2 linked regions of the Caenorhabditis elegans genome follow. The protein of the gene in region 2 purifies or fractionates together with the protein of the main gene of each other region. This does not show direct contact. Each region holds a gene or a part of one and is shown on either strand. Other genes may lie near its edges.

Region 1 (7,169 bases), on a different chromosome or scaffold from region 2:
AATTGTTTTGTTTTTTTTCGCTCTTCCTTATCCTCCAGGAATTTTCAGTTGAAAATTGGAAAATTGGCTGAGTAGCGGCTCAGGTAGAGCTTCCAAGATGATTTTTGTAAATTTTTAATTCTATATTTGAAGTCTACTCTAGAAATTACATATATCCCTACATTTTCAGCTTCGTATCTCAACTTCCACGTATTGGCTGAGTAGCGACCCAGCTGCAGTGTGGGGATACGGAGTTTTGTCAGTTCGAGTGGGAAATGGCTGAAATTTTTGGGTCAGATAGATTGTAACATGCTGAATTTGAAAATAATAATGAAAATATTCAAAAACTCAAAAATTTGAGAAAGAAATCAGAAGAAAAGTAAAGTAATTCAACTCTGTGACACTAAAAATCAAGATTCTATTTCAAATTTAAAGTTTTCTTTTTTTAAAATTTCAGCATCACTTTCATATTCTACACAAATAACTATATATATATATCTAAAAGTTTTCAGCTACGCATTCCAATTTTCACATATTTTCTGAGTAGCGACCTAATACACTGGGGATACGGAGTTTTGTCAGTTTTAGTGGTGATTGGCTGAAAAATAAAATTTTTGAAATTATTGGGTAAAATGTTAAAAAATAACCCAATTACAAAATTTGGAAAACACCAAAATTTCCAAATTTTTTTCCAATAAAAAATAAATTTGGATTTTTTTTGACAAACATTTTTTTATAAATTTTCTGCCGTTTTCCACAAAATTTCCAACATTCGTGTTTAAAATTAAATTCTAGTTATTTTTCTTAAATACCCCAAAAATTTCAGCTCCGTATCCTAATTTTAACACATTCGCTGAGTAGCGACCTAAAGCAGTATGGGGATACGGTGATTTGTTGGTTTTACTATTAGTGGTAAATAGCTGAACATTTTTCTTAGAAAATGTGAATTTTTAGTAAAAAAATCAAAATTATCACGAAATTTTAATGGGAACATTATTTTTGGCAAAACGATTTTTTTTTCAAAAAAATTTCCAGAAAAGACAAAAATTTTCCAATATTTTTTAAAGTCAGTTACATTCAATTTCCGCATTAACTCCTATCACCGTTATCACCGCACCGCAAGTTGCGTCCCGCAACCCCATACACCACCTCCCAGCTCCCCTGCCAATGCAAACGCGCTCGAATGCAAATTAGGGTTCTCTGCGTCTCCACAGCAGGTTATGATGGCGTTTCGTAAGTATTCATCTCACGATTTGACATTGTTTCTATTGATTCTTGATTTTATGCGAGAAACCTGAGATTTTCATGTGAAAATCATGGAAAACCTGGATTTTTTAAACTGAAAATTGGTTTTTTAATCGAAAATTAACGAAAATCCAGTTTTTATTCTGGAATTTTCCAAAAAAAAAAAGTATTTAACATGAATAGTTACATTTGATTTATTTTGTGCAATGCTTTAAAAAAATTCCTGCAAAACAATTTGTTAAAAAAATATTAGACAAAACTCTAAAAAAATTTTTTTTTTTGCATTTCTCCCACTTTATTTATTTTTAACGCACAGTCTGAATTATTTTATCGATTTCCTCCTAAAATTTCCAAAATTTACTTCAATTTTTCCAGATTTTTCGCCGAAGAATCTCCTTGGCCCCAGCTCACTGATATTTCGGGTTTTTTTCGGAGGATTTTTATACGCTAAGTAAGTTTTTTTTTGCTAAATTGTGTTTTGTCCTGATACGTGTCAATTGAAAAAAAAAATTTCAAAAAATCTGGCAAAAATAGTTTTTCAAAATTTCAAATTTTAAGACTTTCAGCATCCAAATTTATAATTTATGTTGTTTAATACGAGCATACCAAAAATTTTGGAAATTTCCCATCAAAACTGACGAAACTCCGTATCGTCCACACTGTAGCTAGGTCGCTGCTCTGCCAATTTGTGAAAATTATCAAAAATAGTCAGAGTTTGTCTAAAGCTCAAAATTTCGGCACATTCTAGCAATTTTTGAGGTGTTTCCGGTAACTTTTTTAAAATTTCGATATAATCTTCAAATTCCACACAATTTAATACGTATATCCCGAAACTTTCAGCTCCGTACCTCAATTTTCAAATATTGGCTGAGTAGCGACTTAAAACACTTGGGATACGGAGTTTTGTCAGTTTTTGTGGGAAATGGCTGAAAATTTTGGGTCAGATAGACAAAAACGTGCTGAATTTGAGAATAACAGTAAAAATATTAAAAAACTAAAAAATGGAGAAAAATAAGGAGAAAAAGAAAACCAACTCTGTGCCACCAAAAACCAAGATTCCACTTGAATTTTTCAGTTTTCTAAAACATTTTTCCAATATTTTAATATTAACTTCAAATTCTACACAAATTAATATCTATATCCCGAAGTTTTCAGACCCGTATCTCAATTTCCACATATTGGCTGAATAGCGACCCAATACAGTGTGGGGGATACGGAGTTTTGTCAGTTTTAGTGGGAATTTGCTGAAAATTTAGTTACTTGGAAATCGAAATACTCCAAATTCAAAAACTAAACAAAGATTTGATACCGCCAGTGTTTTGCCCGCAAATCGCCTAATTTTTGCCGCCTCAGCTAATTTTTCACTACCAAACTAAACCAATCATACTAAAATCGAATATTCGCATGAAAGTTGTCCTGCTTCAGTTTCCCTACTATATGTCTAATCCTCTCACCCTCTAATCACTTTCAGCGTGAAGCTTGAAGCTCCCGAAGCACAAAAATCAACACGTGGCTCGTTTTTCAGCAGAATTGGGTGCTGTCTGTCAACGAAAAGTAGTCCAGCGGAGAAGATAAAGCCGCCGGACGAAATTATGGCTTTTCATGAGTATCCTGTTACTCAGGACTATCGAATTAGTCGGAAGGTAGGGGAAAATTGAGATTTTGGATGTTTTTTTTTTGAATTAGAAATTTAGAGGATATTTATACATTAATTTTTTTCTTGAAAAAGACTTGAAAACCTCCGAAAAAGGACTAGGGTCTTCCTAGTTTTAAGACTGCTTTAGAGAAAAACTGAATTATCTCAGAAACTAAAAAAGATTTCGAAAAATTTTAACTAATAAGTTGTGCCAAATTAAATTTTCAAAATTTTATTAGTTCACAGTTTTTAAATAGCTTCAAAACTCGGTGAGCTACAAGAATTTTTAAATCAAAACTATTTGTTCCAACTTGCCAACTTGCTAGAAAAAAGTTTTCAACAAAAACATATTAAAATTACATTTTTCATATTTTGTAAGTTAACAGTGTGTAGATATTAGGGCTTTTATTATAGACAGGCGTGGTATGAGGGCCTGCCTGTAACCTGCCCGCCTACCTTTCGCTTCTTTTCTGCACTTTGTCGTAAAGTTTACAGTTTACATTTCAAATCTTCATTTTGTTGAAAATCAAATTAAGAAATGAAAAAAAAAGTTAAGGTATGTTTTAGCATAAAGCGCGTATTGAGGCGAGAGCTAGGCGGAGGTCGTTTTGAGGTCAGGCAGGTAGGCGTTTTAACGCCTACATGAAAGCTCTCCAACTAACTAATGTTCTTTTTTTTACAGGTTCTCGGCGTAGGAATCAACGGAAAAGTTGTGGAATGTGAGCACCGCCAGTCGGGCGACAAATTCGCGCTAAAAGTGCTCCGAGACACACAGAAAGCTCGTCGAGAAGTCGAACTTCACGTGATGGCTTCAGGACACGGCCACGTGGTTTCAGTGCACGATGTGTACAAGAATTCATATAACGGAGTCGATTGTCTGCTCGTTGTGATGGAAAATATGAAGGGTGGAGAGCTGTTCAATCGGATTCAGGAGCGAGGTCAGAAGGCGTTTACCGAGAGAGAAGCTGCTGGAATTGTTAACGAAATTTGCTCGGCGGTTGCTCATTTGCATCGAATGAGCATTGCGCATAGGGATCTGAAACCGGAGAATTTACTTTATGTGTGAGTTTTTTAGAACTACTTGGCTAGGAAAAACGTGCACAAATTTAAATTGCTATACTTCACAAGTTTATAACTTTTTAATATCCTTCAAACTCGGAAGATTGAAAGAATTTTTTTCAGATTTTTCCCCAAAAAGTTGAAGGTTTGTAATTCGAAAATGTTCCCAGCCTAAGCGTAAGCCTATGTAGGCCTAAGCCCAAATCTAAGCCAAAGCCTACGCCTAAGCCTAAGCCTGAGTCTGAGTCGAAGTCTAAGCCTAATAGTAAGACTAAGCGTATGACTAAGTCTATGCCTAAGCCTAAGCTTAAGCCTAAGCCTAAGTCTAGCCTAGTCCTACGCCTAAGCCTAAGCCTAAGCCTCATTGTCAGCCGACGCCCAAAATCTACAAATTATCAATTTTGCAGCACCACAGCTTCCAACGCCGCTCTGAAACTCACAGATTTCGGATTCGCCAAAAAAACAGATGAATCGGAACCCCAAGGCCTAAAAACGGCGTGCTTCACCCCTTACTATTGTGCTCCGGAAGTGCTCGGCACCGAAAAATATGATAAATCTTGTGATTTATGGTCGATCGGAGTTATTATGTATATTTTGTGAGTTAAACAATGAGTTTTTCTGTATACATAAAAATCATATAATTTCAGACTGTGCGGCTACCCACCATTTTACTCTCAACACGGACAACCAATGTCACCTGGAATGAAGGCGAAAATCAAGTCAGGACAGTACACATTTCCGAGTCCCGAATGGGATTGTGTTTCTGAAGCAGGTAAGAGTTAAATTTGGAAAAAATCAAATTTTTCGTCTAAATTTCTCTTCTCAGAAAGTTTAAATTTCCGCCTAAATTACCCGCTAAAACTTTGTTTTCATAAAATATAATTATTTGCAGCCAAAGACCTAATCCGAAAGCTTCTCCGAACTGAGCCCACTGAACGTATCACAATTGAGCAGACAATGGAGCACAAGTGGATATCTCATTACCGTAGAGTTCCAGATACTCCATTATTCACAAGTTCAAATCTGAACGATCAACGGGAACAATGGACGGATATGCAGGATGAAATGGAGGCTACATTGGCCTCAATGAGAGTTGGTCCTGAAAATATTCAGATTAAAAGCCTTGGAGACTCGAATAATAAGCTTTTGGCGAAGAGGAGAAAAGGTGGAGCTAGTCCGGTAAGGGAGTTAGGATTTTAAAAAAGTTTTTGTAGAACAAAAAATTCAAAAAAAATTTAATGAAAAATTTAAATAATTTTTTCTGACACTTTTTTCATTATTCTAGAAAAATAATTTTTAGAAGAAGTGAAGCACCTGAAATTCACTAAAAATGCAAATATATTTTTTGAAAAAAGTTGAAAATTTTTCTTTTTTTTTTAAATTTAGTAAGTCCCTAAAATTTGTGTATCTATCAGTGCAAATTTGAAATTATACTACTATTTTGTTCAATTAAACGCCTCAATTTTTTTTTTGAAAAAATTGTTAAATTTTGTACGTTTTTAAGAAAGCAGGTAACTATAATAAAACAGGAAAGTTTTTGAAATGTATGTTGAAAAAAAAACGTTTAAAAAAATGAAAAGTCAAAAAAAAATTCGGAAAAAATGTATGATTTTTTTGGAAAATTAGTTTATTAAAGAACACGTTTTTTTTCAATTTTACAAATTTTTTTCAAAATTTTAACTGAACAAAAAAGAAATCTATCTGAAAAATTTAAGCCTCACACACTCTGCTACAGGTTCCTCTTTATTTCAAAAAGCCGATTAATTTATAGAGTTTTCTAAAATTAAAAGTATATCGAAAACTAATAAAGATATTAAAAAGTTGTAAACTGACAAAATAATGTACGCAAAATTTGCTGCAGTTTGTTAGTTGACAACTTTTTGATATCATAGTTACCCGAGGAGATACGAGAGTTTTAATTTGAGAGGCCAGAGATCAGGCTTTTCCTTGCTTAAAACACTCGTAACTCTGCACTGTAAAGATATCAAAAAGTTGTACACTGACAAAATGAAATTCGTATAATTTCCCATTTTTTATCAGCTCGCCAAGATACAAGTATTTCAAAAAATTAGGGCAAAACAATTTTTTCGAGTGTGCGAGAGATAATTAGAAATATATTATTTAAAAAAAAATTAGAATTAAATTTTTCTCAATTTTCAGAAAGACGATCCCATGGACGATATCAAGGAGGAGGAAAAGGACGATGAAGAGGAAAAAATGATTTCCTAGAAATTTATAAAATTCTCAAAAATTCCCAATACTCCCAAAAACCGAAAAATGTTTTCCCCCAAAAATTGTGATTCTCTCTTTCATGTTTTTCTAATCAATCAAAAGTGCACAAATAACCATTATGTGGACGGTCCTCCCAGTAAACCCCGCCCCTTTCCTCTCTCGAGTACTCACAGGTGTCTGATGCTCAGTTGCTCCTTCCATCCAAAAATGTTTCTTTTTTCTAGTAATTTGTTACATAGATTTGTCTGGTTTCCTTTTTCGATCGGTCGCAATAAATGTATTTTATTTTATTTTTGAAAATTGAAAAAAAAAATAGACTCTTTTGCATTTTTAACAACGTTTTCTACTATATCACACTTAGAGCTTGAAGATGAGTATAAGAATGAAATAATTTGCTTGAAATTAAATAATATTGGGTCTCGTAGCGAAATCTCCGGGGTTACTGTAGTTTTCATGGTGGGACCCTATGGTTCATATCATCAACGAGTTACGTGAAAAGTATTGTTTAATGCATCTCAGAGTTCAACCACGATACTGAAATTGATATGTCTTGAATGAATAAATAATTGTGTACAGACCACTGCAGTAACTGTTTCAGAAAATGACACTAACACCAAAAGAAGATTACTGACGACATTAAGAGGTGCTTCTCGAAAAACAGTTGTTTGTGTCATAAAATCACGCCTGCTACAAAATTTTTTGTCGTTCTAGAAAACACTGATAAGCTAGAGCAAAAAAGGCATACGACGAATATTTTCTCACTTTTTCTGATCCTCTTACATCACCTCTTTTTCATTATTATTTTTGAGTAAGGCATGGAAAAATTGAAGCCACTTTCCTATTTAAGTACTAAATCTATTATACATTATATTGATCCGATTTTACGGTAATTTTTTAGAGTTTTTGAAAATAACTAAGACTATTTAGTGTTTTAATTTGTTTAATGCTTTCTGTGCCTTCATATCAGCTACGAGTTACGTGAAAAGTATTGTTTAATGCATCTCAGAGTTCAACCACG
Region 2 (4,473 bases):
ATCAAATTGTCTTTTTTTTTAATAAATGGAAAATCTTATTGGAAAATATTTTTAGGGAAAGCATACTTCACCAAGTTAAGTGACTAGCCCCCAAATTAAAAAAAAAACTCTTATTCCACAGTTGTTAACCCCATTTGAAACATCTGAAACTTTGCATTTATTAATCTGATTTCAGACGGCAACTTATGGATGTTGAGATACGTCTCCGAGAAAACGAGTCTGTATCAATGTCCCGCCAACTTGAATCAGTTGCTCACAATGAAGAAATGACGGAGAAGGTTCGAGTGTTAGAAGGTACGACTTTGAGATTTTATTATATCATAATCATACCTCCTGTTTTTTTTCAGGAAAACTTCAAATGTTATCGTCGACAAGCGAAATCGACTACCTCCGCAATATTTTCACCCAATTCCTGCATTCGATGGGATCGCCGAATGCCGCCAGCAAGGCCATCTTGAAAGCAATGGGCAGCGTGCTTAAAGTTCCCATGGCCGAGATGAAAATTATTGATAAAAAATAGGGAGCGATGCTTATCACGAAATTGAGAAAGACGAAACTTTTTTTTTTCCTCGTTTTTTTTTGTTCGCCTATTGTGTGTAGATATACCATTCGTTATCAAGAAAAGAAACTGTATAGCTCGCGGGTTAAATTTCTGTCTTCTTGGTGTATTCATTTTCTGGTTCATATCACATTTTCCTCTACTGTGACTATAATTTTTTGTACCATTTTTTCCATTGTCGCTTCGTTATTGGAATTGTAATTTGTCTAATCAGAAACGTTTTTTTTCAAATATTTTCTTTCGTTTGACGTTAGAGGTTTCACACCTCTCAATATACTTTTTTTCTACCAGAAGCTGATTTTCTAAGTAAAAGGATTAATTTCTTCAGTTAATAGTGAAAATGAGCAACTACCGATACTCAAAACTCAACGAAGAAGAGATCTCATTGGAGGATATGCCATCCTCGGCTAACCAAATTCTGACTCGGCAAGAAGTAAGTTTTAGTACTAAAATTCAATGAAGAAATGATGTGATAATGAAGAAATGATTTCAGCAAATAATTCAAGAACAAGACGATGAACTGGAGCTCGTCGGAAATTCGGTGCGAACGTTGAGAGGAATGAGTTCGATGATAGGCGACGAATTGGATCAGCAATCTACGTAAGTTGACCAGCTTATTTCAACTTAGAAATATTAAAATTTTGCGATTTCAGAATGCTAGACGATTTAGGACAAGAAATGGAGTACTCGGAAACTCGACTGGACACTGCTATGAAGAAAATGGCAAAGCTGACGCACCTGGAGGATGGTATGTTGCTGGCCCGTAGAATGTAAACGATTTTGTTTATGTTAGCACCGGAAGCTAGGAAGCAAAGTGTATCATCGAACACATAGCGCCTCCTCGTTTTCAATCAGAAAACATCCAATACTTTCACAAGATGCAGCGTTTCCAGCAGGAAGCTACTTTGAAACTTTCACCAACTTCTTTCTATTCTATTGAAAATGAGCATAATGAGTTATTCAATGCATGCAGTCCTCACACGTTGCGCACGGCACCGTTAGCCTGCATTTTGAAGCAGTGCTCACGAGACCCAGGTTCCATAGTCACCGGAAACATTCCCCCCGTCACTTTCTTCTATTCAACAACCTATTCATTGCAGAGTCCAGTCAATGCAAAATGATCATGGTGCTCTCAGCTCTCCTGTTTTTCCTCGTCTTTGTCCTTCTGGTCTGACGACGTACGTGCCATATATAGTTGACTTCTCTTCTCTCACATTTCATATTTTTATTATTATCATTATTATTATTATCGATTTTTGCTCCCAGTCTCAATCCAAAGGTACATAGTACATTCCTTCCCCACTGTTAGACAAATGACAAGTCTGTAGATCAGAACTACTTCTGGGCTTTTTTTTCTCTTTTTTCTCTTTTTTTAAAGTCTTTTTTCCCATGTTCGTATCCGTATCGGGTGTGAAAACTAATATTTTATATTTTTATATAAATGAATATTTTCAACATTATTTTAAATTACATTGTGTCTTGTTGTGCCAAAAAAAGTGCCTCGCCTTGTCAAACTATCTTGGAAAGTAATGTCATTATCGATTAAAGGCACGGCTGTGCAAATACATTGAACACGTTTACAATATTTCTTATCTTTCTTTCTGACTTTCCAAATAAAATTATACTTTTAGATGGTTGTGCCAAATTTATAATACAATGAGAGTGTCAAAAGTATTAACGTTGGCTAGTTTCATATCAGTCTGCTCGTATTCAGAAGCAAAATCCAACGAAACTGATCCGAATGGATATATTGTGTTTTGTCCGTGCATGGGTGAGTGTTTGCATGCATTTTTGTGGTTAAAAGTAGAATTGAAAAATATATGAAAACTCCTCGAGAAAAAGAAAAAAGTACATTTTTGGAATATTCGGTAATTTGCCAAAGTATTTAAAAAAAAAAGCTAAACTCTTTAGGATAGTATTGTGATATTTGGTTATATACTAAATCCCCACTGATGATACTCCTGTAAATCTACAGAATTATTTCAGGTAGATTTGGCAACCAAGTTGACCAATTTCTCGGTGTTCTTGCATTTGCAAAAGCTCTCGATAGAACACTAGTACTACCCAATTTCATCGAATTCAAGCATCCTGAAACGGTGAGCAAAAAATAACTTTGTTATAATTTTGTGATAATAGTTTTTCAAAAAATTCAGAAGATGATTCCGTTTGAATTCTTGTTTCAAGTGGGCACAGTCGCAAAGTACACCCGAGTAGTCACCATGCAAGAATTCACAAAAAAGATCATGCCAACAGTGTGGCCCCCAGAAAAGCGGAAAGGTACAGTTTCTGTTTTGCCATCATTCAACAATGTTTTTCTAGCATTTTGTTGGACTCCGCGTCAAGCGATCTACGATAAATCTGCAGAACCAGGATGCCATTCGAAAGAGGGTAACCCCTTTGGACCTTATTGGGATCAAATTGATGTTTCATTTGTTGGCGATGAGTATTTCGGAGATATTCCTGGAGGATTCGATTTGAATCAAATGGGAAGCAGAAAGAAATGGCTAGAAAAGTTTCCGTCGGAAGAGTACCCCGTTTTGGCATTTTCCAGTGCTCCAGCTCCATTTCCTTCCAAAGGAAAAGTCTGGTCTATTCAGAAATATTTAAGATGGTCCTCACGAATTACCGAACAAGCCAAGAAATTCATTTCGGCCAACTTGGCAAAACCTTTTGTCGCTGTTCATTTAAGGAATGACGCTGATTGGGTAAGATTTTGCGATGTACATCTAATTTGTTCACATCTACATTTAGGTACGAGTTTGTGAGCACATTGATACAACTACGAATCGGCCATTGTTTGCCTCGGAACAGTGTCTTGGCGAGGGGCATCATCTGGGCACACTTACCAAAGAAATATGCTCACCGAGCAAACAACAAATTTTAGAGCAGGTTTGCTAATACAAAATATGTAGTTTCATGTTTTCTCATATCAGATCGTTGAAAAAGTGGGATCAATTGGAGCAAAGTCGGTGTTCGTAGCAAGCGACAAAGATCATATGATAGATGAAATAAACGAGGCTTTGAAGCCATATGAGGTAATTTTTTTAAAACTGTTTTATTTACTTTTTATTAAGTCGTAGTGCAATTTGAGTTCATTATAGATCGAAGCTCATCGTCAAGAACCTGATGACATGTACACATCACTTGCCATCATGGGAAGGGCTGACTTGTTTGTTGGAAATTGCGTCTCCACATTTTCACATATTGTAAAACGAGAACGAGATCATGCTGGACAATCTCCAAGACCTTCTGCATTTTTTGGAATCCGGGCGGTCAAAAGACATATCGATTTGTGATCTAATATTTTCTACTTAGATCTCCAAAAGTTTGTGATACACTAACAATTGTAACTTTATTATTACTTAATAAAACAACTAGTCATGTAAGTTAACAACGATAAAAACATAATTAAAATATAATTATTGAATAATAGTGACCTTATTGTTAGAATACAGAACCACTGGGAGTGATTGGAAATTCTTTTTGCGCAATGTAATGCTGACTCCAGCAATGGTCACAGTAACAAGAAAAACAATAGTAAGAAGGATGATTATTAACATCAAGTTTCTGTCGAGGAACTGTGAGAACTCTGATTTGAGAAGTGCACGATGCCTGAGGACCTCTTCAGTGTTTCCATAATTGGCTTCCAGTTTATCGAGATCTTCATGGCTCACTGGGAGGTGGTCCTAAATAAACATGTTTTGTTGTTAATTTTAATAAGAATTTCAACTCACCGCCTCTGTGTTAACTGCAAAATGATCGAACGCATTAAGTGATTTTCCAAAAACTTTGACGTTATTGAATTTTGCATACGAACCAATTGGGAGCAATAAAGAAACGTGCTGCGAGATGCCCATTTGATGAGTTGAATAATGTCCATGAATCATTGTTTGATAAGCCTGAGACGATTTTTT

The links.
Region 1: the proteins of pfut-1 (region 2) and mak-2 fractionate together in Caenorhabditis elegans (co-fractionation; one large-scale study listed by BioGRID). This does not show direct contact.

Annotation. Positions count from the first base shown.
Region 1 is NC_003282.8:883,747-890,915, forward strand, and holds mak-2 (MAP kinase-activated protein kinase mak-2), read left to right. Parts: upstream 1-1,599; 5' UTR 1,600-1,675; intron 1,676-2,749; 5' UTR 2,750-2,816; coding exon 2,817-2,867; intron 2,868-3,542; coding exon 3,543-3,922; intron 3,923-4,326; coding exon 4,327-4,515; intron 4,516-4,566; coding exon 4,567-4,691; intron 4,692-4,811; coding exon 4,812-5,098; intron 5,099-6,079; coding exon 6,080-6,148; 3' UTR 6,149-6,454; downstream 6,455-7,169.
Region 2 is NC_003284.9:3,163,638-3,168,110, forward strand, and holds pfut-1 (GDP-fucose protein O-fucosyltransferase 1), read left to right. Parts: upstream 1-2,190; 5' UTR 2,191-2,215; coding exon 2,216-2,330; intron 2,331-2,545; coding exon 2,546-2,655; intron 2,656-2,712; coding exon 2,713-2,836; intron 2,837-2,878; coding exon 2,879-3,264; intron 3,265-3,310; coding exon 3,311-3,448; intron 3,449-3,492; coding exon 3,493-3,594; intron 3,595-3,655; exon of another isoform or gene 3,656-3,660; coding exon 3,661-3,855; 3' UTR 3,856-3,942; downstream 3,943-4,473. Other genes in the region: gcc-1 (GRIP domain-containing protein), read left to right, coding at 176-294, 348-520; syx-6 (Putative syntaxin 6), read left to right, coding at 900-992, 1,053-1,159, 1,213-1,307, 1,660-1,733; C15C7.6 (Glycoprotein), read right to left, coding at 3,979-4,245, 4,294-4,458. UniProt on the Caenorhabditis elegans protein: Catalyzes the reaction that attaches fucose through an O-glycosidic linkage to a conserved serine or threonine residue found in the consensus sequence C2-X(4,5)-[S/T]-C3 of EGF domains, where C2 and C3 are the second and third conserved cysteines.